Stegostoma tigrinum: one gene and its partners. The protein of the gene in region 1 interacts with the protein of each later gene in a pairwise test. Links are inferred from orthologs where the notes say so. Each region holds a gene or a part of one and is shown on either strand. Other genes may lie near its edges.

Evidence for each region. The genes of interacting proteins can lie anywhere in the genome.
Region 2: the proteins of neflb (region 1) and ubiquitin carboxyl-terminal hydrolase 2-like interact in binary tests that used the Homo sapiens proteins (3 or more experiments, as listed by UniProt). The two-hybrid records come from large-scale screens. The link is inferred for Stegostoma tigrinum from reciprocal best matches to the Homo sapiens genes NEFL and USP2.
Region 3: the proteins of neflb (region 1) and ski-like protein interact in binary tests that used the Homo sapiens proteins (3 or more experiments, as listed by UniProt). The link is inferred for Stegostoma tigrinum from reciprocal best matches to the Homo sapiens genes NEFL and SKIL.

What each region holds. Positions count from the first base shown.
Region 1 is NC_081393.1:5,042,569-5,050,235, forward strand, and holds the start of neflb (neurofilament light chain b), read left to right. Parts: upstream 1-4,633; 5' UTR 4,634-4,655; coding exon 4,656-5,681; intron 5,682-6,029; coding exon 6,030-6,154; intron 6,155-7,169; coding exon 7,170-7,438; intron 7,439-7,667. UniProt on the Homo sapiens protein: Neurofilaments usually contain three intermediate filament proteins: NEFL, NEFM, and NEFH which are involved in the maintenance of neuronal caliber.
Region 2 is NC_081385.1:1,061,327-1,069,395, forward strand, and holds the start of ubiquitin carboxyl-terminal hydrolase 2-like, read left to right. Parts: upstream 1-4,988; 5' UTR 4,989-4,996; coding exon 4,997-5,057; intron 5,058-8,069. UniProt on the Homo sapiens protein: Hydrolase that deubiquitinates polyubiquitinated target proteins such as MDM2, MDM4 and CCND1. Isoform 1 and isoform 4 possess both ubiquitin-specific peptidase and isopeptidase activities.
Region 3 is NC_081367.1:61,088,194-61,096,054, forward strand, and holds the start of ski-like protein, read left to right. Parts: upstream 1-4,780; 5' UTR 4,781-6,093; coding exon 6,094-7,209; intron 7,210-7,861. UniProt on the Homo sapiens protein: May have regulatory role in cell division or differentiation in response to extracellular signals.

The DNA of each region.
Region 1 (7,667 bases):
TACAACCTGGTATTTTGGGTAAGTATGAAAAAAAATGCCTTGGTGAGTCATTGCACGCTGAGATTCAGTGATGGGAGACAGGCTTGTTGCGACTCAATAGCCTCTTCTTATTCAGAGATTAGAACCGTTACACTCAATGTCAAAGAACTCCCTCTCTTTGCTGAATTCTCAATTTCCGAGACATTGACAACAACCACTGAACAACAGTATTGCACACTGGGCAAGTGGGCAAGATGTTGGCTTTTAAAAATTCAGGCTAAGAATAAATGTAAGTTGGTGTGTGACCGAACTCAGACCGTAAACCATTAGCAAATAATGAGCAGACAACACAAGACTCAAAGATACAAATTGATTTGTACTTCACCCATTCACTGCATTAACAGGCAGGGACTTTGTTCCTCTCTTGACTTTCCCTGAAACGGTGATTGAAGAATATCTGCAGACTGTAAATAATCCTGAAAACATGCCTTCACATTGACTAACTCCTAATAAAGCAATCCACTTGAATGGAGGACTTTTGAACAACATTTTCAGAGCTCATCCTAAATGGATGACATGATGGGGATATATAGTCCCAAAACAGAACAAATAAAACTGTGTTCCACATGTAATGGGGGTTTAATGTGTTAACAGCTATTTTTGAGAGTGCCATCAGGGTGAAAATTTAAATTCTCCTTCTCACTGAGGAATGTGGCACACGTTACATGAACAAAAATACTTTGACAAAGTATTTCATTGATTGAGAAGCACTTGGGAACATGTTCAGGGCCTAAAACAACAAGACAAAAACCAATTAATTCTTTCACATCTGCTAACTCCACTGCACAGATCTTGCTTCCAATAATAGCTGCCAAGATATAGTTCCATTTCACCAAGAGTCCCTGCACAACATATTTAAATTAATGTTTTAAAAAGCATCTCATGGCCAAGCTTTCTCCTTTCCTATTATCCCCAACTTCTGATTAATAAGATTCCAGTGTAGTGTCAACGCCATTCACACTAACATCCTGGAACCCCCATCTTGATCATTCTGTGGCTGTTCCCACATCACATGGAGTGCAGGAGATCACCACCATTGGCTGAAGGGCTATTTTATTTCTCAAACAGAGGCTGGTGCATGTATGGAATGAGCTGCCAGACGAAGTGGTCGAGGTAAGTGTAAATTGCAACATTTAAAAGACATTTGAACAGGCACATGAGTAGGAAAAGTTCCAAGTGATTGGGCCAAATGAAGGCAAAGGGGGTGCATTCCGTTCAGAATACCTGGTGAATGAGTTAGACCAAAGGGTCTATTTCCAATGTGTTTGACTCTATTATTAGGGAGGGATGATAAATGCTGGCCCAGCCAATGTCACTGCCATACTAAGACCATGAAGACAAGAAAAAAGAAATTATAAGCTTAGCTCAGAGACACGTTTCTCACATGGATGGAGACAGTCAAGTCAAATTTGCTTGGCTCTAACATGACAGAAGCAGTAGAGAGCTATACTATAGAGTTAGCAGTATAAAGCTAGCTGCAGCCACTCAGTGAATAAATAACACGGCTGAGGGGATAAATTGGGTTACAATAGGTCCTCTTCACCAAGCAGTTACTTCTCAAAGGCACAGGACACTGAAGCTCCTGTCTGGCCCCAACTGGTTAAGTTCTTATGCCCTTCATTTTTCCCCTGTGAGCTCTCACCCAGACAAATGTTTGTCGAGATTTGTTCGTTTAATAGGGGCCGCATTGTAAAAAGGTCTTCTCTCAGCAACGCAGCGACATATCAGCATTCACTGTTAAAGCTGATGGCCTAGATCAATGTGCCATTGGTTATATTCACATCAGCCCTCCCTCATGATGCAGGGGCTATTTGGATACAGGAGGCTTTCTTGCTTGTTAGCTTCTGAGTACAACCACCAGCTAATCTTCTTCTGCTCACTACCAGTGACCTGAAATTACCAAGTTATCCTGCAAGGCTTGTGAAATGCTTGTGCCTCTGTGTGCCAAACCCAGTTTCCCCATCTCTCTCCCAGCCACCCTGCCACAACCACGTGATCCTCATCTAAAATTGGTCAGGCTGCCTTTTTGTCATTCATCCAAGTTGTTCCTGAAATCTCTGTGTATGGCAAACCCTAGGAATCAGGCTGCAATCCTTGTCAATCATAGGTGGCCTGTCAGTATGTTGGTCACCCACCCTCAACGTCAGCCATTGGTCTGCTCACTGGGTTCTACAACATCTGCGATGCAAGGAACAGATTTTCCCAGTGGAACACTGAGGCAGGTTTTTAAATTCATTGGTTCAGGAAGGCTGGGACAGTTTGAACCTTCGTCAAGCAGTCTATCCTCATTTCCAATACAAAGACCTCATGTAGCACCTGTGTGGGACACTGGTTTGGCAGGGCACAACAGAAGAAGTTAAAGGCTGAAATATTTGTTAGACGATGCAAGCTTATTGTCTGGGTGGAAATGGGAGGAAATCATTCAGCCTGTCCCACAAACCATTCAGATGTCGTAGTCAGGTTGTCACTGAATCATGGAATCATACAACATGGGAACAGAACCTTCAGTCCAACTTGTCCATTCCAACCAGATTTCCTAAATTAATCTAGTCCCAGGATTTGGCCCATATCTTTTCATCTTCAGACACCTATCCACAAGCTCATTAAATGTTGTCATTGTACCAGCTCCTACCACTTCCTCTGGCAGCTCGTTCCATACATGCACCACCCTCTGTGTGAAAAAGTTGCCCCTTTTTCCCCTCTCACCTTAAACCTATGCTGTCTAGTTTTGGACCCCCCTCCACCCTGGGAAAAAGACCTTGGCTGTTTCCCCCATCCATGCCCCTCATGCTTTTATCAACTTCTACAAGGTCACCCCTCAGCCTCTGACATTCCACAGAAAATAGCCCCAGCCTATTCAGCCTCACCCTATAGCTTGCACTCTCCAACCCTGGCAACATCCTGTTAAACCCTTTCTGAACCCTTTCAATTTTAACATCGTCTTTCCAATTGAAGGAAGACCAGAACTGAGTACAGTATTCCAAAAGTGGCCTCACCGATGTCCTGTACAGCCACAAGGTGATTATCCAACTCCTAGACTCAATAACACTGACCATAATTTGTCATTCAGATCCATCTCCCCTCCAATGCCCACATGTGGTCAGATCGGTTTGGAGGAGCGAGACCATTGCTGGCTTTCCAGGACCACCTATGCAAAGAATTCATTCTTGAATTGCCCATTTCTGACTGTAAAGAGATCTCCCACTATTTTAGCTATCGGAGTAATGACAGTAGTCAATCTGTCTGTCTTTGCAGTGTATGGAATCTCTTTATAGGCTTTCAAACACCTCAGTTGAAATTTTTCCTGAGTCTATGGCACAGCAATCAAGATTCTCCTGCTCTGAAGCCTGGTAATGACCCTCATGGGGGCAAACAAAGTACTACTGGGGGTGCCATTCAGACCAGAGAGAAATACTGCAAAGCATCACCAGCAAGCGATATTCGCAGCTGAAGATAAAAAAGGAAAGGTCCAGATAAATTATTCCCTCAGCCAGGAGAAAGAGGCATGGGGCTGTGCAGCAAAAAGCAGCAAGGTGGGCTCTGGGATGAGGAAGGGTATGTTGGAGCTGTACAGGAGTTTGGTTAAACCACAGCTGGAGTACTGTGCAGCAGCTCCAGTCATTTCACTGTAAGAAGGAATTGATTGCACTGGAGAGGGTGCAGAGGAGATTCACCAGGAACATCCTGGGCTGGAGTGATTCAGCTACCAAGAAACAAAAAATTGGGATCCTTCTATCTGCCTCCCCCTCTCTCCCTATTTATTCCAGAATCCCCTTCCCCTGCCCCATTCCTGAAGAAGGGTCTCAACCCGAAACGCCAGCTTTCCTGCTCCTCTGATGCTGCTTGGCCTACTGTTTTCATCCAGGTGTACACCTTGCTATCTGGGATAGGGTGGGGTTGCTTCTCATTCAGTAAGGAAGCCTGGCTGGGAGGGTTAGGGATGGATCCGAATGAGGTGTACAGAGTACTGAGGTCCGTAGACAGGATAGATAGAGAGAAATGTTTTCCCCTATCGCCGAGGGAGGGGTGACGGGGGTGGGTGTCGATAACAGGAGACACAATTGTGAAGCAAGGGGCCAGGAGGGGATTTGAGGTGAAGATTTCTCGCCCTCCCTAGCTCACTTTAAGGGGCCCTGAAGAAGCGAACGCTTGAAATGCCACAGCAGACAAGGCTTGGGAGGGAGGGTGAAGTGGATGGGGGGGGGGTGGGTTGGGGAGGGGGCAACTGCTGGGAGATAGGATTCCTCCAGCATTCTGGATGTGAGTTTGCTCGCTGAGCTGGAAGGCTCGTTTTCAGACGTTTCGTCACCATTCTAGGTAACATCGTCAGTGAGCCTCCGACGAAGGCTATTCCTCCAGCATGTCAGGCTGTCTGCATGCCTTGGCAAACTGGCGTTGAGTGGCAGTGCTTGAAATATACCCCAACTCGCTACAGTCAGTCCCGCAGCTTTCCAGGCACGGTGGGAGTGGCAGCATATTTTTTTGCTGTCGAGCAGGACGGCGGAGGAATTGGGGGGGAGGGGGAGGGGAGGGTCTCCGGTTCGCTGTGGGCTGGGTCTGCTATAAAAGGGACCGTGCAGAGCGCTCAGAGCACACTCGAGCGAACGAGCCCAGCCATGAGCACCGTCAGCTACGAGTCCTACTTCCACAGGAGGCGCTATGGAGACAGCGCAGCGCCCAGGACCTACGGAGCTGTCCAGCATTTCAGGAGCAACTACGGCGGTAACGTCAAAGCGGTGTACAGCCCGTACTCCAGCCCGGCGTTCACGGCCAGGAAGGCCCACAGCATCTCGTCGGCCCTGGACAACTTCGACCTGAGCCAAGCCAGCGCGGTGAGCAGCGAGTTCAAGGCGGTGAGGACCCAGGAGAAGGCGCAGCTGCAGGAGCTCAACGACCGCTTCGCCAGCTTCATCGAGAAGGTCCACGAACTGGAGCAGCAGAACAAGGTGCTGGAGGCCGAGCTCTCCCTGCTCCGCCAGAAGCACGGCGGGCCGTCCCGCCTCAAGGGCATCTACGAGCAGGAGCTGCGGGAGCTGAGGTTGGCGCTGGACGACGCCAGGCACGAGAGGCAGGCAGCCCAGAGCGAGAGGGACCACTTGGAGGAAAGCGTCAAGAACCTGCAGGCCCGCTACGAGGAGGAGCTGCTCAACCGGGAGGACGCCGAGGGACGCCTGATGGAAGCCAGGAAGGGCTCGGATGAAGCGGCGCTAGCCAGGGCCGAAGTGGACAAAAGGATCGAGAGCCTGATGGATGAGATCGCGTTCCTGAAGAAGATTCACGAGGAGGAGATCGCCGAGCTGCAGGCTCAGGTCCAATACGCCCAGGTGTCCGTGGAGGTGGACGTGGGCAAGCCCGATCTGTCCTCTGCCCTGAGGGAGATCCGGTGCCAGTACGAGAAGGTGGCAGCCAAGAACATGCAGTCCGCCGAAGACTGGTACAAGACCCGGTTCGCCGTGCTGGCCGAGAACGCTTCCAAGGACAACGACGCGACCAGGCAAGCCCGGGACGAGGTGATCGAGTACCGGCGTCAGGTCAAAGCCAAGACCCTGGAGATCGACGGCGTCAGGGGAATGAACGACGCCCTGGAGAGGCAACTGCTGGAACTGGATGAGAAACAGGGCGGAGAGATCAGTGCTTTACAGGTAAGAGAATGGAACCTGGACCAACAGGGTAAAGGCCGATACGGGGCTGGGAGCGGGAAAGAGAGAGAGACACACAGAGGGTCCAGCGGGGAGAGACCGAGGGAGAGATTCTCACACAAACAGCCAGGATCTGTGGCAAGGGGGGGCAGAGAGAGAGAGAGAAAAATGGCGGAGGGAGTGTGTGCGAGTGGAGGGGGGAGAAGAGAGTGTCATTTAGAATCTAGTTCAGTCAAAGAGGACGTGGGCGCTGACCCTGAGATCAAAAAGAGAACAGAGCAGGAAACGACAGAGAGAAACCCAGGGGCTCTCTGACAATCTCTCTCCTCCCACCCATGTCCCCCTCCACAGGACGCCATCAGCCAGCTGGAGAATGAGCTCAGGACCACCAAGAATGAGATGGGCCGCTACCTGAAGGAATACCAGGATCTACTGAACGTGAAGATGGCCCTGGATATTGAGATCGCTGCTTACAGGTAGTTGACGGCGGTCCCCCGGTTATGGGTGGGACTGGTACAGGGACGGGCCGCTGGGAACTTACGCCCCTTTTCCCACGGATGGCAGTGTCCCTTCCTTGATGGGTGGAGTGCCATGCTTCTGCCTGTTTGATTAACCAGCCGGGACGTGGGGGTGGGGGGGTTGGGGACGGCTTGGTGAAGAGGACCGACCATTCGGCCCTTCCATTCTAGACCTCAGCCCCACCCAGAAGCCGGTGACAGAGCCGCTGGGTCCAATGGTACCAGCCCCTCTCCCAGCCCTTTGCCCACACCCCACCCCTCCCCTACTGCAGGGGGCTGCATTGCACCAGTAAGGTGCGCCGCAGGGGGGCGTATCCACACAGGTCTGGCGCAGTCTTTCAAGTAGCCTGAGGGTGTGCCAAGTGTGTTCCAGAGGAGAGCCCCGCAGGCTGAAATACACCATTTCAATCGGGAAGGGTTGGTCTGGGTTGGGGTGCGGGACAGAGGCCGAGGGGGTGAGATGGTTGAACGTGACAGCCTCGTTGTGTCAGGTACGTGTTAGCCTCCACTGTCTCTCACTGTAAGGCCAACATTCCCATCGTAGAGCCCCGCAACGTGGGGTTTCACAGGCGCGGTGCGGGGGTGGGGGGCGGGCGAGGTTGGTGACGATTCTGAAAGGCTTTACTCAGTGCCTTTGCGGGGTAGAACAGTGAACAGCTGAAGCCGTGAGCAGGGTAGGAACAGTCGAGCTAGACACGAGAAGTGGGCAGTTCGAGAAACAAAACGGGCTGAGCGGTTCCTGCGTCGAACGCGCACATTCACTGGTGTAACTCCCGAAAGGAAATGTGCAGTAGATAGCAATATACAGCGACACTTCAAAATAAACTACCTGACCAGGCTGCGGGGAAAGAAAAAGGAACTGCCCCCCCCCCACCCCCTGACTATGTACGGACACAGGCACAGCGCCATGTCATTGTACAAGCCTGCAGCACGATTCTGAAATGCTCTCACCGCGTTGCTGTTCCGCCCTCAGGAAACTGCTGGAAGGAGAGGAAACACGCATTAACTACGCCAATGTGGGCAGCTTGATCGGTAACTACGCCCAGACTGCCACTGCCCCGGTCTACAGCCGCTCGAGTTACTCTCTTCAGACCAGTGCCTACGGACTGTCCAGCAGACCCGTACTGTACAGTTCCTACGGCAGCAGCAGTCAGATAGAGGAGGAGGAGGAGGTGGTGCAGCAGACCCGCGCTTTGGCAGCACAGCTGGAACCCCCTGCTGACAAGGCAGAAGACATGGAAGGTAAGAACTTTCTCTCCAGGCCAGCAGCTCAGCACCGAGCTGCCAACTCAGTCGCTGGCACACCCCAGAGCCAGAAGGGGCGGTTTTGAAGTGGCACTAGAGGGTACTGCTCCCAAATCAGTAAGTGTAAGAGAGTTGAACCATTGTAGGAACGTCCCTTAATTGAGATGTGAAACTCAAGACCCTTCTGGTCTTGCAGTGAACATCAAAATAGTGTCTCACTCCTCTT
Region 2 (8,069 bases), on another chromosome or scaffold:
GACAGTGCGGCACTCCTTCAGCACTGACCCTCCGACAGTGCAGCACTCCCTCAGCACTGACCCTCCGACAGTGCAGCGCTCGCTCAGCACTGACCCTCCGACAGTGTCTCCTCCCACAGCACTGACCCTCTGACAGTGCGGTGCTCCCTCAGCACTGACCCTCCGACAGTACCCACTCGCTCAGCATTGACACTCCGACAGTGCCCAATCCCTCAGCACCGACCCTCCGACAGTGCCCACTCCCTCAGCACCAACCCTCCGACAGTGCCTGCCCCCTCAACACCGACCCTCTGACAGTGTGGCGCTCCCTCAGCACTGACCCTCTGACAGTGCCCACTCCCTCAGCACTGACCCTCCAATAGTGCCCACTCCCTCAGCACTGACCCTCTGACAGTGCCTGCTCCCTCAGCAGTGACCCTCCGTCAGTGCCCACTCCCTCAACAGTGACCCTCCGACAGTGCAGCGCTCTGTGTTTAGGTGAAGACTCATTTTGCATATTCGAAAGCCATCACGTTAAGTGCACCTGAGAATTGTTGGAGAAATTCCAATACTGGATTTAATAACCTGATGAGCAATGTTGCTTCTTGAAAGGAAGAGATTTCTGGGTTTTATTTTAAAGCAGGAAATGCCAATTTTACATTGCTGGGCTCCACATAGCCCCAGCTGTCCTGTGGTGCTGAATATCATCCCATGGTGCAGGGCAGCAGCTAGGATTCAGTTTCACTTTGTTCGGGAGATTGCTGACCTATTTCAGGTTGTCATGGAATTAAAGAAGCTGTTCCACTGGCTGCTGAAATACAAGACAATTTCCACAAATGTAAAACGTTTCCATTCTTGTTCTGATTTGTAATCATTGTATAGCCCCCTTTCTTTGAAATCTCCTTCACCCAGGAAACCTAGGATCGTCTAACTCCAGTCCAATTTTCACCCTAAGTATTAATCACTTTCCTCTTAGCACCTGCCCCTTCAGCTTCCCAGGCCTATCTTTCAGACAACAGCCTTACAGTGTCGTTCATTGTGACTGTCCAACTTTGACTGTCTTTGGTTACAGCCACCATCTTGGTATGACTCACGAATCTCTTTGCTTGTTCTGATTTCACAGCTCCCAGCCTGTTGCCTCTATAGCTTCCTTCTTGCTCGATGCTCCTGCTTCTGTAACACAATCCACCTCTCGATATCATGGCCCACCTTAAAACCCCTGTTCATCTTACTTTAATGCCATCTTCTGCCACCTGTTGAGCAGTTTGTTCTCTGAATGTGTTTGGTAGCATTTAAATGCAAGTTGTTGTTGTAAAGCTAGCACTGACTTCTGGTTGAGCATTTGACCTGCACTGTTCGATCGGGCTAACTATGACCTTGAGAACCAACAAAGTGCTTCATGGGAATATTTTTGAAGAAAACTCATTAACTGTAACAGGACTTCAGGCAAACAGGTGAAGTGCAACAATATCATGAATATGTACACAGTTAAAGCTCTCAGGTGAGAGAGACAGAGATGCCATGGGGGCTTTGAAACAGTTGAGCTATGAGATCTGAAAGAACTCAAGTGGCTGTGATTCAATATCAGACTCAATTGTTGGATTTAGTGTTTGCCCTTGCCAGGGAAAAGCACAACCCTCACTGGGCTATGGGCTCCCCCTCCCCTCCTGAAAGTGCTGACCCTCACTGGGTTACCAAGTCCCTCACAAGAGTGACCATCGCACAGTCCCTGTGGAGACCAAGTCCTGCCTTCACAAGGAGAACGACCTCCAGCGTATTGCGTGGCACTATCACTGTGCTAAATGGGACAGACTTCACACAGATGTAGCAGCTCATTCTGGGCATCCATGAGGCACCGTGGGCCATCAACAGCAGCTGAACTGTACTCCAGCACAATCTGTAACCTCATGGCCTGGCACATTCCCTACTCAACCATTACCATCAACTCTGGTTCAATGGAGAGTGCAGGAGGGCATGCCAGCAGCAGCACCAGGCTTACTTGAAGATGAGGCATCAATCTGGTGAAGCCAACAAACAAGGATTACTTGCACACCAAACAGTGAAAGCAGCAAGTGATAGACAGGGCTAATCAATCCCACAACTGATGGATCAGATCTAAGCTCTGCAGTCCTGCCACATCCGGTGGCGAGTAGTAGAGGATGATTAAACAACTCACTGAAGGAGGGGGCTCCACAAACATCCCCATCCTCAATGATGGAAGAGCCCAGCGCATCAGTGCAAAAGATAAAGCTGAAGCATTCGCAGCAATCTTCAGCCAGAAGTGCCGAGTGGATGATCCATCTTAGCCTCCTCCAGTGGTCCCCAGCTTCACAGATACCAGTCTTCAGCCAATTCCATTCACTCCACGTGATGTCAAGAAACAGTTGGAGACACTGGATACTGCAAAGGCTACGGGCCCTGACAACGTCTCAGCAATAGTACTGAAGACTTGTGCTCCAGAACTTGCCACTCCCCTAGCCAAGCTGTTCCAGTATAGTTACAACACTGGGATCTACTCGACAATGTGGAAAATTGGCGATGTATGTCCTGGAGATAAAAAGCAGGACAAATCCAACCCGGCCAATTACCAATTACTGTCATCAGAGGCAAAAATGGAAGTTGCCGGATAGGCTCAGCAGGTCTGACATCATCTGTGGAGAAAAAATCAGAGTTCCACCAGGGCCACTCAGCTCCTGACCCCATTACAGCCTTGGTTCAAACATGGACAGAACAGCTGCATTCCAGAGTGAGGTGAGAGTGACAACCCTTGATATCAAGGCTGTATTTGACCAAGTGCGGCATCAAGGGGCCGTAGCAAAACCAGAATCAATGTCTATCAGGGGGCAAATGCTCCAGTAGTTGGGGTCATACCTGACACAGAGGAAGATGGTCGTGATTGTTGGAGGTCAGTCATCTCAGCCCCAGGACATCTCTGCCGGAGTTCCTCGGCCACACAAATGCCCCAGGACATCTCTGCCGGAGTTCCTCGGCCACACAAATGCCCCAGGACATCTCTGCCGGAGTTCCTCGGCCACACAAATGCCCCAGGACATCTCTGCCGGAGTTCCTCGGCCACACAAATGCCCCAGGACATCTCTGCCGGAGTTCCTCGGCCACACAAATGCCCCAGAACATCTCTGCCGGAGCTCCTCGGCCACACAAATGCCCCAGGACATCTCTGCCGGAGTTCCTCGGCCACACAAATGCCCCAGGACATCTCTGCCGGAGTTCCTCGGCCACACAAATGCCCCAGGACATCTCTGCCGGAGTTCCTCGGCCACACAAATGCCCCAGGACATCTCTGCCGGAGTTCCTCGGCCACACAAATGCCCCAGGACATCTCTGCCGGAGTTCCTCGGCCACACAAATGCCCCAGGACATCTCTGCCGGAGTTCCTCGGCCACACAAATGCCCCAGGACATCTCTGCTGGAGTTCCTCGGCCACACAAATGCCAAGCTATAACCATCCCCAGCAGGCAACAGCCTAATCACTGGCCCTTACCGTTCAATATTGTTACCATTACTGAGTTTTACACTATCAACATCCCAGGGGTTACCACTAACCAGAAATTCTACTTCCACATAAACACAAGACCAGGTCAGAAGCTGGGAATACTGCAGTGAGTAACTCATCTCCTGCCTCCTCAAAGCCTATCCACCATCTACAAGGCACAAGTCAGGAGTGGGATGGAATACTCCCCACTTGCCTGGATGGGTGCAGCTTCAACAACACTCAAGAAGCTTGACACGTTCCAGGACAAAACAACACACTTGATTGGCACCACATCCACAAGCATCCACTCCCTCCTCCACCAATGTTCAGTCGCAGCAGTGTGTACTTTTTACAAGATGCTCTTCAGAAATTCATCAGAGATTCTTAGACATTATCTTCCAAACTCACAACCACTTCCATTTAGAATGTCAAGGGCAGCCACTACATGGAACACCATCATCTGCAAGTTCCCCTTCAAACCACTCACCATCCTGCCTTGGGAAAATATGTCGCTGTTCCTTCACTGACACCTGATCAAAATGCTGGAATTCCCTCCCGAAGCACTTTGTGGGTGCACCTACTCCAAATGGATGGCAGTGGTTCAAGGAGGCAGCACATGACCACCTTCTTGAGGGCAACTGGGCAATAAATGCTGGCCTGGCCAGTGAAGCCAATGTCCCACAAATAAATAACAACAAATTTTGAACATGCCCAGCAACTTTTCACTGTCTACCCTCAAACCTCTTTGTTCAAGTCTGTGTGTTTCTGTGTGTGCGCGCATGTGTGTCTGTGTCTTTATGTCTGAGTTTCTGTATCTATGTGTTTGTGTGTGTGTGTGCGTGTGTGTGTGTGTGTGTGTGTGTGTGTGTGTGTGTGTGTGTGTTTATCTATGTGACGCCCTGTCTTTGTGCCTGTGTGTGTGGGTGTGTGTGTGAGTGACACCCTGTCTTTGTGCCTGTGTGTGTGTGTGTGTGTGTGTGTGTGTGTGACGTCCTGTCTTTGTGCCTGTGTGTGTGTGTGTGTGTGTGTGTGTGAGTGACGCCCTGTCTTTGTGCCTGTGTGTGTGTGTGTGTGTGTGTGTGTGTGTGTGTGTGTGTGTGTGTGTGTTTATCTATGTGACGCCCTGTGTGTGTGGGTGTGTGTGTGAGTGACGCCCTGTCTTTGTGCCTGTGTGTGTGTGTTTATCTATGTGACGCCCTGTCTTTGTGCCTGTGTGTGACGCCCTGACTTTGTGCCTGTGTTTCTGTATCTATGTGAAACCCTGTGTGTGTGTGTCTGTCTGTCTTTTTCTCTGTTTCTGTATGAGTTTCTCTGTCTTTGCTTCTGTGTGTTTCTTTGTATCAGTCTGTCACTGTCTCTGTGTCAGTGTGTTTTTGTCAATGCCCTATTAGGAGCAAGCCTAGACTTGCTTGTGAACTCAAGCTTCCCTCTTCCTGCCAGATCTCTGTGTTGGGTTGTTTCGCAGTGTGGTGTGGGATAGCTGTAATCAAAGCAGTTGCCATAGTGAGGAAAGGAAGCTGCTCAATGATGTGGGGAATACCAAGCAAATGGCCTGAAATTGAGACAAGAATAGTGAAAAATGGAAGTAGGTTTTTCATTCTATTTGTTTTCCTACAGGTACCCTCGCCTCTTGATGTGCTTACACTCATCTGCCACATATTTCTGCAGAGTTCTGTCTTAGAAGATCTGTTTCTTGTATTGCCTTGTATTGCCTTGCATTGCCTTGTATTGCCTTGCATTGCCTTGTTGAATTTGTTTTGCACACATTGTGAAGCTGTCAATGCCGCATGGAATAGATTTAAACACTCGTAGCACAGGGACAGCATGGGGTTAGATACACAGTAAACATCCCTACACACTGTCCTCATTAAACAGGGATAACACAGGATTAGATACGGAGTAAAGCTTCCTCTACACTGTCCCCGTTAAACACTCCCAGAACAGGGACAGCATGGTATTAGATGCAGAGTAAAGCTTCCTCTACTCTGTCCCAACACAAGTTGAAACCACCTGATGGTTCCAGTGTGATATTCTCTTTCCTGGACCACCCATTCTTTTACAGAGGTTTTGAGCCATCTTCCTATTCTAGAAGCAGCGCAGGAGACAATGTGCTTGTGGCCTGAATCCATATTGAATCACCATCAAGTGGCGCTGTGGTGTTCTGTGTTTGAAGATGAAGGAAGGTGTTGGAGTAAATTAAATACATTCCCACAACAAAATCTGAATCTTCCTCCTCAGCAAATTTTTCAAAGTTGGTGAATCGCCTCACCTTCAATGGTTTTTCCCTCTCCTGCACAATCCTGAGTGAGGGCTGATGCTGATGTAGAGCAGGCAGGGTGAGTGTACAATCTACAGGCAGGCTACAGTACAGGGACAGGTTTTGTAAATTTGGAGTTTGGGAGACTGTGTCAATACATTAATCTAACACGAGGTGGCAGAATCTGCCTGAGAGTCTCTCACACAGGGAGCTACTGGAGAACAGCCTGTAAACATGTCCCATTTGGTAATCACTTGGAAATCCGTTCTGTAATCTCCACATTCTTACCCGTAAACATTTTTGGTGAACAGACCTGTCCACCATATCCTTCCTCTAGAGCAGAATGACAACTTTGTAAACTTTTTACTGGCCCCTGTACTTGAGTACAATGACAATAAAACTTAATTCTAATTCTTCCCTTACTCCTCTTCAGGCTCAAGTAAAGCCATTATCCAATTGAATGCTGAAAACATTCTACTGAATGGAGCACATCCATCAGGCCTGTATTTCAAAAGCAGCTCCTCCTCCCCGCCACCACCCCCACCCGCCCCCCCCCCCCACCTTGGAGAGTCAGTGTTGAGGGATTCACCCCCTCCATCCCGTGGAGGGTCAGCACTGAGGGATCCCCTCCCACCCCCCTTGGAGGGTCAGCAGTCAGGGATCCCCTCTCCCCTCCTTGGAGGGTCAGCACTGAGGGATCCCCTATCCCATCGGAAGGTCAGTCCTGAGGGATCCCCTCCCCCCCCCCCGGAGGGTCAGCGCTGAGTGATCCCCTCCCCCCTCGGATGGTCAGTGCTGAGGGATCCCCTCCCCTCCTTTGTAGGATCAGCACTGAGGGATAACCTCCCCTCCCCTTGGAGGGTTAGTGCTGAGGGATCAGCCCCTCCCCCCTTGGAGGGTCAGCACTGAGGGATCCCCGCCCCTCCCCTCAAAAGGTCAGCGCTGAGGGCTCTCCTCCCTCCTTGGAGGGTCAGCAATGAGGAATCCCCCCCCTCCCTGGAAGGTCAGCGCTGAGTGAGCCCCTCCCCCTTCAGAGGGTCAAAGTTGAGGGATCCCGTCCCCCCCTTGGAGGGTCAGCACTGAGGGATCCCCTCGCACCCCCCCCCGCCCCGGGAAGGTCAGCGCTGAATGATTCCCTCCACCCTCAGAAGGTCAACACCGAGGGATCACCTCCCCCGCCCCCCAGAAGATCTGTGCTGAGGGAACCCCTCCCCTGGAGGGTCAGCACTGAGGGATCCTCTCCCCCCACGTCAGAGGGTTATCGCTGAGGGATGCCCTCCCCCTTGGAAGGTCAGTGCTGAGGGATCCTCTTCCCCCTAACCTTGGAGGGTGCGTGCTGAGGGAGTCCGTCCCTGTCACAGCTCAGTGCTGAGGGAGGTGTTCTCTTTCGGATAAACACCTGCTGGATCCTGCCTGGCAGATATATGTAAAAAGAACCCAAGTCTGTTATTTTGAAGAACAGCTTCAGTGGCTCTAACTATACTCAGCTGGCTGGGTGGTTGGTTTGTGAAGTAGAGTGATGCCCACCGTTTGAGTTCAGCTCCCTCCAAAGAGATCCTTCAGCGCTGACCCTCAACTCCCACCCTGGCTGAGGTTACCACAAAGGAGTCTCCTCTCAACCTCCCCCCTCACATGAGATATCTGACCCTCAAGTTAAACCACCCCCAGTTGTCTCTCTCTAAGGAGAGAGCAGCCCAATGGAAGAACAGACAATGCTGGAGTCAGTGATAACATGGAGCTGGAGGAACACAGCAGGCCAGGCAGCATCAGAGGAGCAAAAGAGTCAATATTTCAAGTCTAGACCCTGATGAAGGCCTGAAGCATCAACTCTCCTGCTCCTCTTGTACTCCCTGACCTAATGTGTTCCTTCAGCTCCACACTGTATCAGCTCTATGGGCTGGTAAGACTGTGGTAACTCCCACTCATTTGTCAATAGTGATGATGTAAATATTTACTTTGATTATTGCGTTATTGTCACACTTTTGAGATTGTGAAAGGTGCTATAGGAATGTACATGTTACTTTGGGTGGAGGCTCGAATGCTGGTCAGGCTAGTTGACCCCAGAAGATTGAAGTGTGAGCGCAAACAAGCATTTCAGTAACAGTTTTGCTGTGTGGAGACAGTGACATTACAGTGTCCGCTGAGGGCCAGTCAGGTCACTGGTCTGATTTTACTGGAAACGAGGCCCAGGCAGAGTGATTAACAGCTTAGGCAAGAAGTTTCTGTTCATAGTTCAGAATTAACAATACATTCAACCTACATATTAGATTTCTGTCCCATTTCCCAGGTTTTAAACTGTGCTGTTTATAAATTGAAGCAGTGAGGGTGGTGTTACGGGTT
Region 3 (7,861 bases), on another chromosome or scaffold:
AGCACCCCTTAATTATTTGAGTTCGCTTCCCTGTCCAAGTCCTGAAGAAGGATTTAAACCTGAAATATTGACTTTCTTGCTCCTCTGATGCTGCCTGACCTGCTGTGTTCCTCCAGCTCCACACAGATACCACGGTGATGCAAATCTTGAGTTGGAGCCTCTGAGCCCTTAACACGTGTTTCAGAATTTGTTGCTTCTCAAGCTAAGTTGTTCCATCACAATGTGCAAAATTGCCCAGGTATGTCTTGTGTACAAAAAGGAGGACAAAACTAACCCAATTACCCTCAATCAGTCTACTCTTGATCATCAGTAAAATGTTGAAAGGTGTCATCAACAATGCTATCCAGCAGCGTCTGTTCAGCAGTAACCTGCTCACTGATGATTTGGAATCCACCAGGGCCAGCCTTCATTCAAACATAGCCAGAGGTGAGGTGGGAGTGACATACCATGACATCAAGGCTGCATTTGACCCAGTGTGATATCATGGAGCTGTAGCAAAAGTGAAATTAATTGGTATCAGGGGTAATCTCTCGACTGGTTGGACTCATTCCTGGCATATAGGAAGATTTTTGTGGTCATTGGAACTCAGTCACCTAATCTCCAGGGCGTCGCTGCAGGACTTCCTTAGGCTAGTATCCTAGGCCCAATCATCTCCCGCTGCTTCATCATGACCTTCACTCCCTCATAAGGTCAGAAGTAGGGATGCATGCCACTAATTGCACAATGTTCAGCACCATTCACGATTCCTCAGACAATGAAATGGTCCATGTTCAAACGCAACAAGACCTGGATAATATCCAGGCTTGGGCAGACAAGTGGCAAGAAAAACTTATGCCAGGCAATAACCATCTCCAATAAGAGTTGATAAAATCACCACCCTTGACCTACAATTGTGTTACCATCATTTAAACACCCCCTGTCAACATCTTGGGATTACCATTGACCAGAAACTCAAGTGGACTTGCCACATAAACACAATGGCCACCCCAGCAGGTCCAAAGTTAGGAATGCTGTAGTGAGTAACTGACTTCCTGACTCCGCACAGCCTGTCTACTATTTACAAGACACAAGTCAGGAGTGCAATGGGATACACCCCACTGGCCTGGATGAGTGCAGCTCTAACAACACCGAAGAAGCTTCATACCTTCCAGGACAAAGCAGATAGGTTGACTGGCTCCACATCCACAAGTATCCACTCATTCCACACTGACGCTTAGTAGCAGCAGTGCGTATTATCTACAAGATGCACTGCAGAAATCTATCAATGATCCTTAGACTGCACTTTCCAAGCCCATGACGATTTGCATCTCAAAGGGCAGAAGAGACGTGGGAAAGTCACCATCTGCAACTTCCCCTCCGAGCCGCTCACCATCCATTTTGGCAAATATATCATGGTTACTTCACTGTTATTGGGGCAAAAATCGTGGAATTCCCTCCCTAAGGGTATTGTGACTCAAACTACAGCACATGGACGACAGCAGTTCAAAAAGGCATCTTACCTCCACCTTCTCAAGCACATATAGGAATGGGCAGTAAATGTAGTGTTCCTCCAGCTCTACACTGTTATCTCTGACACCAGCAGCTGCAGTTCTTACTATCTCTGGGCAATAAATGCTGGCCAGCCGGCAATGCCTAAATCCCACAAGTGAAAAACACAAAAACAGAAGCATTGAGTCTGTACTGCCAGAAGGGTTTTGAGGTCAGAGTCATATACATGTTTGTAAGACGATGACTTTGTTTCTCTGATAAGAGACTCAGTCAGTTTGATATAACTGTGAAGACACAGGCAATTTTTTAGGATAGTTAACTGGCTGTCTGACACCTTTGGAAGCTTTGCGATGTCAGAAACCCATCATATATATATTCAATTCAGAACATAGGAGTAAATTAAGGTATAAAATGACAGTGTGATTGTAAAAGATTAACAGCCCTGAGGCCGAGAGTTCAATCCTAACAGCACAGTTTCAGTTAATCTATGCAAGTAAATCTGTGAGCTAGCATCAGGTATAATGACAATGAATACTGCACATTATAAAGCCCAATGTTTTTGTGATAAGGGAGCTGTATTCTCAATGTAACTCTAACACCGCAGCATGTGGTTGACTGTCAAGCTTCTGAATAACTGGTCATACTGTGGACCCGCCAGAGTTTCCCACATCCTGAGAACTGGTGGAAAATACTTCGGTTTAGTTCTGAAAATACGATTCATATTTATCTTGAAACATTAACTCCCTCCATAGATGCTGCCATCCTGCTGAATTTCTTCATCTTAAAGATTTCAGGGCATTATTTAGAATTCTTCCATACATTTATCTCTCAAATCAATACCTTAAAACAAATTTTCTGGTCATTATCAGATTTCTCCTTTGGTAAAATGGTCCTGTTTTCTGTGGATAGACCCTTGATGACAAACTGTGTTCGGGCAAACCATATTACCAGTTCACAAAGTAGTCCTCAAATGAATAGTAATGACTAATTGGTTATTAGCTGTAGTCTATGAAGGACAGTAAGAATCTCTCTCTCCATTAGAAAGAGACAATTGGTTAAGCTTGAGGGACATCATCGTATCATCGAGTTACACAGCACAGAAACAGACCTTTCAGTCCAATTCATCCATGCAAACTGATTTAGTCCTATATGTCAGCATTTGGCACATATCCCTCTAAATGCTTCTACTCCTACAATAAGAGAGTCATAGCGTGGTACGGTATGGAAAACAGACCCTTTGGTCCAATCAGTTCATGCCTATCATGTTTCCAAGCTAAACTAATTCTACCTACCTGCACTTGAACCATATCCCTCTAACCCTTCCTATTCATGTACCCATCCGGTGGCCTTTTAAATGTTGTAATCGTACCCACTTCTACCACTTCCTCTGGCAGCTCATTCCATACTCTTGTGAAAATCTTGTCCCTTAGTTACCTTTCAAATCTTTCCCCTTTTACCTGAAACCTATTGCCCTCTAGTTTTGGACACCCCTACCCTGGGAGAAAGACCTTGGCTATTCAGCCTACTCATGCCTCTCTTGATTTTATAAACCTCTGTAAGATCATCCTTCAGCCTCCAACACTCCAGGGAAAACTTCATATCATGTTGAAATTCAGGCAAATGAAACTCCACGAATACCACAGCTGGTACAGATCCATGCTGTTGGTGTCTTTCTGTACCACATCCTAGCCATCTAACCAACTGAATTAACTGACTTTAACCATGAAAAAATGCATGCCTGAACTATTAATGGTTATTCAGGTTCAGATCAGGACCCATCTTTCACCAAGCTCACTATAGTCAGTCAATGGGTGGAGCTTGGCAGATTCAATTTAGTAGTACTGTAGAAATCACTGAACCAGTAGACATTATGTACCATAATAATAAATAATATAAAAAGAAAGGGTGCAGGAAAAAAATATCTCAGTCTAGCAGCACTGAGCAGAAAAAGATGAAGGCTGAGGTTATGACCTAAAGTTCAACTTATTTCAAAATCTTAGTTTGTTTCTTCATCCCTTCAGATGGTTTTACGCACTTGTTTGTCCTTACCTTATAAAGAACCTCTGTTTCTTCACTATGTGCGTTACCAGCTGTAGCTCATCTTTATGGTCATCCTGGGAATAGGATCAAAACCAGTCAGTAATCTCAAATGGGTATGTATTGGACTGTACCATCCTCTCTCACCTTTTTGGTTTGGAGGAAATGGTCAAATTGGTCAGTGGAAGATTAATCATGCGTTAAAAAACATACCTTTTCTCTGTAGGCAGGCCCATGAAATTGAGGATGTTTTGCTTCCATTTTGTTTCAATGGATATTGCAGACATTTTTTTACTTTTGCGTGGGTGCGGACATCAGGGGCAAGGTCAGCATTTGCTTCCCATCCCTAACTGCCCTCAAATTGAATGGCTTCCCAGATCATTTCAGAGAGAAAGTAAGATTCAATTTCATTGCTGTGCATCTGGAGTCACATGTAAGTCAGGCCAGTTAAGGATAGCAGATTTCCCTCCCTGAAGCACATTAATGAACAAGATGGGTTTTTTCTGTAATTGCTGATGGTCTCACAGTCATTGTTACTAATACTACCTTTCAATTCCAGATTTTGTGAACTGAATCTACATTCTGCCCATGCTATTAGAATCATCCCAACAGAGAATCATTCTCTTTATTTACTAGTCTCCCCTAGCACTAAGCCACCATCTTCTCCCAAAGCCTCTTCCACATGTGGAGTAAGTAGTGCTTGAGCGAGTTGCTGGGTGGATGGTTTTATAATTATGTGGCTAAGCTACGTCCCCAGATGAACACTGGCTGTATCTTATAATTGTGATTGTCCACTGGAACCATTGGTTTACTTTGGTGCATTCACTGCCACTAATCTTTCTTTGTTGGATTAGTCCCAGATTTTAAAAAACAAGTGGGAGAGGATGACCACTCAAGCTTTTCTGTAGAAGAAGGCTATAGTCTTGAAATAAAGATTAAAGATTTATTACATAATACTGACTGGGTGGTTATATTACATGTAATATGTTTTTAGGGAGGTAATGGTAATATCACTGGACTAGCAATCTTTCAGAATAAATTTTAAAAAAATCATTTGAGTGATTGCGAAGGTTCTTTGGGATTTCCAGAAGTGGTGAAGGACGCCACTGTGTCAACAGATAATAATTTACCTGCATTCTTTGCAGTCGGGGTGTCCCTTTAAGGGCAATGTGGTCAGGTGACCGGGCGTTCAGGGTCGGAGACTGTGAGTCAGCGCTCCGTCTCGCCGGCTGCGTGACGTCGGCGTTTCCTGAGTGGGCGGCGGTGACGTCGATGCTTTCTGTGCGGCGGTGCTCCGCGGCGAAGCGAGGGAGACAGACAGACAGATAGACGGGGCACGACAGTCTGTCTGTCTTTGTCACACAGCCGGTCCCCGGGGAGGTGAGGATTGTCAAAGACGCCTTGAGGAGCACTGCGAGTAACAAAAGCGGGAGAATTGTGCGGGTGTGGGAAGAGGCGGAAGGAAGGAAGGCCTCTGGGAAGAGGAGGGGGTTCCGAGTATTTGACAGGTCCCCGGGACAGCGAAGCGGAGCGCTCGGCCTGTCAGCAAGCACCAACCCATCCGGCACTGGGACTGTGTAATCATTGACATACAGTGGTTATATAATTATACATACAACTCAGAGATACATGTGAGGGGATATTAAATTGAAAGCGGCCTGGAGTCTGGAACTGTCAGTCCTCAGTCGCCAGGACTCCCTCTCTCCTTTTTAACCCCCCTCCCCCACTTCATTTACATTTCCAACCTGCTTTTGGATTAGAGAAGCCGCCGTCGATCTCAAGAAACAGGCTGTCCTCCCCCCGCCCCCACTCCCTGGGGGAGGCAAGATTTCAGTCAGCAGGCCCTCCCTCCACGTTGCTGCAAAGGAGCCGAAGTAGGGTGGGAGAGAGAATCGTCGTTTCATCGAGGAGAGGGTAGCGACGCCTCCCGATTTTTATTTCTCTCGTTCACTCTCCCAAAGTAAGGGGCTTCATGCCAGTCTTCAGTGAGTCGCACCAGGCGTGCCTTGGATCGACAATGTGTTAAATTCAGTCGCGAGAAAGAAAAGAAATTTAAATTAGGAAGACAGAAGTACGGACGATTTGCCGTGTCTTTGGCACATCCCACGTGAAATAGTGGTTTGGATCCAAGTGTTTTTCTGGTTAGAAGGTGTATTTCCTCCCATCTGGCGAATGACCAAATCAGTGCTGAGAAATTTCAAACGAGTAGAAGGTTGGTTCGCCACCTGCTGAGCAGATCGTGTTTGTGTGTGTGGTTTTCGTTACTCGTCTGAGTATTGGCAGCGGAATCGGACTGTACAACCCGGCACTGTGGTGGGATTAATTTGGCTGGGATGTGCAAATGTGGAATCAGTCGAAATTCGGATTTTGCCTTGATTAGCTTGGTGATATAGAGACTTAAGACATTGTTCACAACATTCTAATTTCTACCAATGATATGTGACCAGAATGTATTGAAATGCACGACGACCATCGTGTGCTAATTTTGTAGGCGACAGTCATTTAATCTAAAGTTGTGCCTGGATATATAAATTGGGGGAAAAAAAACTGGTACGTTTCCCAGTAGCCATGACAAGTGTACAAGGAGCTATGAGAGTGATGGATGGAGTTAACTTGGGTGAAGTGATTGTAAAAAAGGAGCCAGTATATGACGGAGTGGGAGAACGAAGCAACGTGGAAAAGGAGTTTGATGGTAGAATTACACATATGCTCAGAGCCCCAGGAGTAAAGCTAGAAAGTGGACAGGGCCTTGGAGTGGAGGAGACAGCGCACACAGATGTGTGTGTGCCCAAAGCTTGCCTGTTGTCAGGAGTTCGTCCATTGGATCTTAACCCTGCTCTCAAACACACATTGGCTCAGTTTCACTTGAGCAGTCAGAGCTCTCTGGGTGGGCCAGCAGCATTTTCGGCACGTTGTACTCAAGAGTGTATGTCGCCAGGGGGGCTAATGCCCATGACATCACCCCCTGTGCTGCCAGGACCATTGCTTATACCCTCAGACAGTTCAACTGAGCTCACGCATACTTTATTGGAAGGAGAAACTATCTCCTGCTTCATGGTTGGTGGGGAGAAGAGGCTGTGTTTGCCACAGGTCCTAAATTCAGTTCTGCGAGATTTCTCTCTTCAACAGATCAACACTGTCTGTGATGAGCTGTATATTTATTGCTCAAGATGTACGGCAGAACAGCTACAAATTCTCAAAGTCCTAGGCATCTTGCCTTTCAATGCTCCCTCTTGCGGACTTATAACACAGACTGATGCACAGAGGTTATGTAATGCCTTGGTTCATGCAGGCATACTGCCTCCAGATGCCAACAAACTCCCTGGCAAAACATGCCTTGCCCAGTTACAGAGCACTGGTTCCAGTTTTGAAGTAGAACATTGGTGTCTTGGGAAATGTCAAGGTCTGTTCGTGCCGCAGTTATACAGTCACCCTGATGCTACCTGCATTCAGTGTCTGGACTGCCACATGATGTTTTCACCCCAGAAGTTTGTCCTGCATTCGCACAGGTCTCCAGACAAGAGAACCTGCCACTGGGGCTTTGATTCAGCTAAATGGCGCTGCTATGTGCAACTGAGCCGTAAATATGCAGAAACATCTGAAGAAAAGTTCTTACAGCAATGTTTGGAAGAAATGAAAGACAGATTCAACCTCAATAACCAGCGAAAAAGACTGCTTCCAAAGGTAAGTTCCATTTTTCACTTGAAGGAGAATTTTGCTGATGATATGTTTCTGTGAACAAATATTTCCTGGTCAATACTTACCTCTCGACCAACCTCAGTGAAAACAAATGATCTGGCATGAATTTAATTCCTGTATGTGGTAGATACCCTGCATTTTAATACTGGATACTACGTTGGCTGTTGAATACTGAGATGCCTAAACAGTTGAGATAGTTAATGTGAGACCTTTCTTTTTTCCAAGATATCTTAAATCTGTGTTTTGTATGGGGTGAGTGGTGCATTGGCTTAAATGTAGTGATTTTGACATCTGAGAAATCATTCAAATTCAACCGGACTGATGGGACCAAAAAAAATGTCATCTCTACTCGTTGCCTAAATGGTTGCAAGTGAAAAAAGTCTCACTCCAGTTCCAGATGAGCCTCCAATACAAAACTGGCCATAATTTTACATTGACTGACAATCTTCCTAAGACCACAGCTTCTGGTTTAGAAAATAGAAAACACAGTATCACTCTGGTGTAATTGTAAGTACCCTGTTGTCTTTGGGATTTAGACATAATAGGAGTATATAGTGTGACATGAAAGAATAATTCTAATGATGCGAGGAATCTGAAACAAAAACAGTGTTGGAAATATTCAGTGGGCTAGGCAGCA